2 linked regions of the Notamacropus eugenii genome follow. The protein of the gene in region 1 interacts with the protein of each later gene in a pairwise test. Links are inferred from orthologs where the notes say so. Each region holds a gene or a part of one and is shown in the gene's direction. Other genes may lie near its edges.

Region 1 (3,755 bases):
GACTTCGTGAAGCATAAAAGGGCAGCTAGGGGCACAGTGGACAGAGTGCTGGACCTGCAGTCAGAAAGACTGATCTTCCTGAGTTCAAATGTGGTCTCAGACACTTACAAGCTGTATGAACAAATCACTCGATCCTATTTGCCTCAGTTCCTCCTCAGTGAAAGATGAGCTGGGGAAGGAAATGGCAAACCACTCCAGTATCTGGCAAGAAAACTCCAAATGGGGTCCCTAAAAGTCGGATAGGACTCAAACGAATGAACAGCAAAGCATAAACAATGGGGAATTAGCGGAAGAATCCTTTTTAAGCAATGTCTTCAAGAACAAAGGATGTACGTGGAAACTGTGTATGACTATCACTGCAAAATAATTTCTTTTACTACAAGAGAGAAAATGTGATTTTACAGCAAAAAAAGGTTAAAATTAGAAAATCCACTTAACCTCTTCCCACCATCTCTTAAAAATAATCCAGTCTTTTGGAAGTAGCTTGTGATTTCACTTCCTAAGTCACCTTGACAGGTAGTGAGACTGTTGTTCTCCATCTAACTAAGTGGGTCAAAGGGTTGGGAGAAAGGAGGTGGGAGGAGGTGGGAGGAAGAAGAAGCCGAAAGAAAGAGGCAATCGATTTAGTGGATCTCCCTTCGAACCACGGTGGGAGGCAGATGAGAGTCCTGGTGCTCCAGAGGTTATTCATTGAATGCCCAAGGCCCAGGGAGAGGGAAAAGCGGGTGGAAAGGAGAGACAGTCAACAGAAGGCTGTGCATCGGGAGGGCCTGGACAGTGGCACCTGGGCCAACCCTGGCACACGTGACTCGAAGAGAACGCCCAGGGGGATCGGGGCTCACCTGGGCCCACGTGATGGGGCTCGAGCCGCCCCCGCCTGCCAGAAGGGAAGGGCCCGTGCTACTCAGCCGCGTCTCCCCACTCCCTTCCCTTGCTTTCCCTTCCCGGCGCGCCTGGGATCCCGCACGGAGAGCAGCAATCCCTGCGCCACCCTGAACGGTGGCAGCACTGGCAGTCGTGGAGGCGGGCGTCTCGCAGCCTTTGCACACCCAGCAGGGGCAGCAGCGGCAGCAGCAGCAGCAGCAGCAGCAGCATGTCGGCCGGCGGAGCGTCTATGCCACCCAACCCCGCTGTGTCTTTCCCGGCGCCCAGGGTCACCCTGCCGGTGGGATTCGATATCCTCCGGACCTACTCCGGAGCCTTCGTTTGCCTGGAGATTGTAAGTGGGCAGCGGGCGAAAGTATCTGGAAGAGGGTCAGGAAAGAGAGCAGGGGAAGGGTAGGTGAAGGTACCAGGGGTCGCGAGAGGACAGGGAGTCAACGAAGAAACATTGTCCATGCCGGACTCTAACTCCCGCTGCCCCGCTCCTCTGCTCACTCTCCGTCCTCTCCCTCCAAATTCCTTTGCTTACCCTCTTTCTTCTCCACTCCCAACTTCCCCCCTCCCCACTCCACGCCGCTGCCACCCTGGTGGAGCCCACCCCGCGTGGCCTGCTCCCCTGCTTGCCCTGGCACCTGTTACATTGGCAACCTGGCTTCTGGTTTCCGTGTTTGGGTACTCGCTGTCTGTTGCTTAAGATAGGAGAAAGGGAGATATTCAAAATGAGGAGTGGGTCGGCATCTTGGAAGGGGGAAGGGATTGCTCGGCTCCCCTTTGGCTGGAGATGGGGTGGCCGGAGCTGGCAGAGAAGGGCCGTGCCAGAAGGGCGGCTGGAGCCTAGGGTAAAGAGACGCTCTGTCAGCCTCGCCTGTTGCTAACCTGCCATTTTGTTGGCTGGGAAAAGGTGTAGCTACCTTTGTGAGTCGGTGACCATGAGATTGTAATTCCAGGCTCCCGGTTAGAGATTGGAAAGAGAGGGTAGAAGGGGGAGTTCAAGGAGAAAGGCAGAAGACTGGGAGTATGAATTACTGTGGGCCTCCCACCACACACACACACACACACACACACCACACCACACACACACACCACACACACACACACACACACACACACACCACACACACACACACCACACCACACACACACACCACACACACACACACACACACACACACACACCACACACACCACACACACACACACCACACCACACACACACCACATACACCCACACCACACACATACACCACACCACACCACACCCATACACACACACACACACACACCACACACACCACACACCACACACACCACACACACACACACCACACACACCATACACACACACACACCACACACACCACACACACACACACCACACACCATACACACACACCGCACACACACACACCACACATACACACAAACACACACACACACACACCACATACACCCACACCACACACACCACACACACCACACACACACACACACACACACCACACACACCATACACACACGCATACGCACACACACACACACAACACACACCACATACACCCACACACACACACACACCACACACACACACAAACACACACACACTCTTTTGTGGTGAGGAGAGATTCCCAGTCCAGGTTTAGGATCTTTGGCAGCTTCCACACCAGGTGGGTGTGAGAAATCTGGGTGGAGGGTAAAAAATGTGACTCTGGCGTTGCCTGTTTTCCGCACCTTCCCTCCCCTCCAACACACACAATCATTTATGAGCATGACTCCTGCAGGTGTGGGTGGGGTCACTTCTGACCATATTTTGTCACCTAGACTGTAATCCAAATTTCTTGGGGTGGGGAGTTTCTCTCTCTTTTTTAAAATGGGATTTTATGAGTTGGAGAGCTTTAGCATAGACCGGAAAAGAAAAAAAGTGCAAATAAAAATTGGGCAACTTTATGTTGCATCATACACTGAGAATGACAAATACAGGAATGAATTCCACATACAACCTTATTTTCTGCAGGTTGGTTGGCTTGCTTGATTTGGGCTTTTTCTCTTCACCCCTCCTCTTTGGAGTTTGCATAACCTCGATCTGGGTGCTTCAGTTTCTGTTTTGTGATGTGAGCTGAATCTGGAGCATTTGGTATTCTGCCTTATTATGCCAGCACTGCCAACGCATCCCCACTCAAGTTTAGCTCAGATTTAAATCTGAGAATGGAGACTTAACTAAGCTACAGGCTACCGACATGAGTAATAAGATACTGCAAGGCTGAAGGAGGCAGTTTTGAATTTGAGCCCACATCAGAAGCATCTGAAAGTGTACCTAGTGATGACTGGTTCTGGGAATCTTTGCAAAATTAATGAAAGGAAGATGGGACTGATTTTGATGTGGGCCTGTAAGAAAGGGAAACAGCTTCGAAAGGCAAACATAGAAGAGTTTTTAAAAGTTTTGAATGTTTTAGCTTGAACAAGACAGAATGGTGATATTTCAAGTCTGTGAAAGAGATGTTATTGATGAGAAGATAAATGGGTTTTAATCCCTGTACAGAAACAGATATGTCTTCCTCTTTTCATCTGCTCTCCAGTTTATGAGAAAAGGTTAACCTATTCATCTTCAAAAAGTATGTACCTCTTGCCCTTCCCACCTCAGGAGGAGCCTTGACCTTACGTTCACTCTCATAAACTTTTCCCTTTTCTCTAGAATTATTGACCTTTTTTTCCTCCATTCTTCTCTGATTTTCTCATTTAGACAGTTTCAGGCCTTCCTTTACTTGAAAAGAGAAAAAGAAAAAACAAAAAACAAACCACGTTTTTGTTTCACTATCACCACCCATCTCACTTTCCAATTTTCACCTCACTTTTTTCACCTTCCCCCACTCCTACTC
Region 2 (3,755 bases), about 180 Mb from region 1:
GGAAAAAAAAAATTACATTTCACTTGAAATTAGAGTGAGGACAGATAGGCTATTAATGATAGCAGAGAAGCAGAGAAGAATGAACATTATTAACTTTTCCATCGGCTCATTCTTCACTGAAAAAAAAAAAGAGTCCATTCACCAGGAACTCCTTCTTTTCTGCTCTTCATTCTCACCTCATATCACTCAGATGTCTTCAGCTATTTCCTCCTTTACCTCAGTCTATAATGAAGGATGACCCTTCTTACCAAGGCAGACCTTTCTGCATGTTTTCTTGATCCTTTTTCATCCCATCTTCTCCAACAGATTGTCCTTTCTGTTATCTTTACTCTACTAATTTTCAATCACTGCCTCTGCTGGCTGCTGGCTGCTGTAAAGATACTATAAGTATGTCCATGTCTCATACTGAAAAAAAAAAAACAAGACAAAAAACCCTAACTTCATCCGATGCCAATATCTTCTTTTTTGTGCCTAAACTCCTTGTTCTCTCTTCACTGTCTACTAAATTTTCTATAGCCTATTGTCTGACCTCATTATTTAACTGAAAAGGCTTTCTCCAAGTTTACCAGAGATCTTTTAATTTCAAACTCTAATGACCTTTGCTTACTCCCCATCCTTCTTGAGCTCTTAGGATCTTTTGACACTTTGGTCATCTTCCTTTTGATATGATCTCCTCTAGGTTTTCCTGGTACTGTACCTTCCTAGTTCCCCTTTTCCCTATCTAAGTGTTCCTTTTCAGGCTCCTTTGCTGGTTATTTATCCAGATTATTCCTCTTCATTGTGGGTGTCCCCCAAGACTCTATCCTGAGCCTTCTTCTGATCTCCCTCTGTATTATTTCACTTGTTGATCTTGTCACCTTCCATGGATTCAAATGTCACCTCTGTGCAGATGATTCTCAGATCTGTTTGCAGAGTCCCAAACTTTCTCCTGACCTCCAGTCTTGTATTTCCATTTGCCTTTTGGATGTCTCAAAATGGGTGTCACATAGATCATCTCAAATCCAACCTCTCCAAAATTGAACTCATGCTCTTTCTCCCCATATGCTTCCCTCATTCCGATTTCCCAGGGGCATCACCATTCTTCCATTCACTCAGGCAATGAAGGTGTTATCCTCAACTCCTCATTCTTATTCACCCCCCCCTCCCCCATCTGAACCATTGCCACATCTTGTCAATTCTGCTTTCACATCTTGTGAATTCCATTCTCTCTCTCCATTCACAGAGCCACCATGTTGGTGCAAGTTCTCATCTCCTCACACCTGGACTATTGCAGTAGCCTTCTGGTTGGTCTCCCTGCCTCAAGTCTCTCCCCACTTCAATCTACTCAGTTGCCAATTTATTTTTCTAAAGTGTAAGTCTGACCTTGTCATCCTCTACTCAGTGAACTCTAATGATTCCCTCTACAATTAAATATAAAATGCTTATAAAGGGCAGCTAGATGGCATAGTACATGAAGTGCTGGGCCTGAAGTCAGGAAGATTCATCTAGGTGAGTTTTCAAATCTAGCTGTGTGACACAGGGTAAGTCACTTTGCCTCTGTGTTCTCATCTATAAAATGAGCTGGCTAAAAAAATGACAAACCACTCCAGACGAGTATCTTTGCCGAGAAAATCCCAAATAGGATCACCAAGAGTTGGACACATCTGAAAAATGACTGAACAAGAATTTTAAAGAATTTTAAAGCTCCTCACAGTCTGACCCCTTCCTACCTTTCACTTTCACAGTCTGCTTATACATGTCCTTCCATATACCTTATAATTCAGTAGCACCAACTTTCTTACTATTCCTCACATTTCCTAACTTCATGACTTTTCACTGACTGTCCTCCATGCCTGTATTGCTCTTCCCTCTTCTGGCTTCCCTGGCTTCCATTAAGTCTCTGCTCCAATCCTACTGGCAAGAGCCCTTTCCCAGTCCTGCTCAGTGCTAATACTTTGCCTCTGATATCTACCCTGTTTATGTTTTGTATATACACAGTTGTTGGCGTATTGTCTCCCCCATCTTAGAGTCTAAGCTCTTTGAAGGAAAGGACCCTGTTTTTGCTTTTTTTTTTTTCTGTCTCCAGTGCTTAGCACATTCCCTGGTCCATAATAAATGTTTAGTAAATGCTTATTGACTTGACTTGGCTTTGAGCTTAGTAAAGTTGCAAAGAATAGAAATTATAGGATTAATGAATACAGATTTTTGTCCTAGATTTATGATTTCATCAGGGTATGGAACACCTGGTGAGAAAACTGCCTCCATTGATGAAGAACAATTTGCAACTTAATCTCAGAGAGTTCCCTGATGATGCTGAGGCATTAAATGACTTGCCTGTGGGCAAACAAGTGTCAGATATAAAACTTGAACCCAAGGCTTCCTGAGTCCAAGGTCTGTTTCCTGTTGTCTATATTATGCTGCCTTTCGAGGTTCCTTAAAGTTGAAAAATTCTAATTCTTTCTTGGGGTTTAGTTTTATAAAGTATCTTCTCTTTACTTCCTCTTTGGGGGAAAATATTGTATCATACTTCTTTTCAGACTCTTATTTTCAATGTGCTCATCTCCAGAGATGACAGATCCCATCCACACTGAGATCCCCATCTGCCGTTTGCTTGTCCTCGTCTTTGATATGCTAGATGGAGGAGCTTCTGGATGGGGGAGTTGTTGAATGAAGGTCTCTGCCTTTGGCTGGCAAGATTTCCACAGATTTAAGGATCTAACAGAGACTTTTTACAAGGCTGTTTTTAAATCACACTGAAAGATATACTATATATGAACAACAGTGTGTGGGTGGGGAAAGAGAAGGCAGTAACAACTTGGGGGATATTTGGGAACCTCTCCTTAGAGAAATCCAAGAATTTAGCATTTAGGTCAGAAGCTTATTTGTATTTGTGTGAAGTTAAATTTTGTACTGTAGTCTTATTCCTTCTTTTTCCCTGTTCCATTACCATGGAGCAAATATTTCAATGTTCAGGTTTGGCTTAGTATCAATATAAGTGGAAGAGCATTGCCAGAGATTTATTAAAGAATGGCAGAAACTAACATCTAAGGGCAGGATGATCAGGCCTTGGTCTAGGGTACTAAGGGAGGGCTCACGCTGGTAGCATCTCACTACTCCTGAATGTCCTGCCCTTTTTCTAAAGCTCACCTTTCCCCATGGTATCCTTCTGTGTGGTGCCTTCCCCCCCTCCTTCTGGAATATGAGGGGTAGTTAGTTATGCCATGGGGACTAGGGCCAAATTGTCTGGAGGAAAGGTTGCTTCTCTACTATTCTGAGGGCACCTGGTGGGGAAGACTGTCCTTCCTCTCCCAATTTGCCTCCAGTACCAAAATCCCTAATGATGACTTTGGAGAAGAACCCAATATAGTGGTATGGATATTTGAGATAGAGTGAGAAAAGATTTGTGTTTCAATCCCAGCTCTGACATTTCCAAGCTTTTCTATAATGGGCAGTTTTCTTAAGTTCTGTAAACATCCTTTTCCTCAACTGTAAAATACCTAGAAAATCTCCCTCCCAGGGTTATGAAGTTCAAATTACACACACACACACACACACACACACACACACACACACACACACACACACTTACATATATATGTACATGTATACATACACAGATTATATATATGTATTTATACATATACACACACACTTTATAAACCTTACATTGTTATAAAAATGTCATCTATTAATGATAATTCTGTAGTTTAGGTGTCTGAAAAATTAGAATAAAGGTAAATCCTGATATTTTATATTAAAATAAATAAGGCTTTACC

Evidence for each region.
Region 2: the proteins of MAL2 (region 1) and TPD52 interact in a two-hybrid assay, tested with the Homo sapiens proteins (2 studies listed by BioGRID and IntAct). The link is inferred for Notamacropus eugenii from reciprocal best matches to the Homo sapiens genes MAL2 and TPD52.

Annotation. Positions count from the first base shown.
Region 1 is NC_092875.1:126,086,302-126,090,056, reverse strand, and holds the start of MAL2 (protein MAL2), read left to right. Parts: upstream 1-862; 5' UTR 863-1,093; coding exon 1,094-1,219; intron 1,220-3,755. UniProt on the Homo sapiens protein: Member of the machinery of polarized transport. Required for the indirect transcytotic route at the step of the egress of the transcytosing cargo from perinuclear endosomes in order for it to travel to the apical surface via a raft-dependent pathway.
Region 2 is NC_092875.1:303,170,730-303,174,484, reverse strand, and holds the start of TPD52 (tumor protein D52), read left to right. Parts: upstream 1-1,083; 5' UTR 1,084-1,098; coding exon 1,099-1,351; intron 1,352-3,755.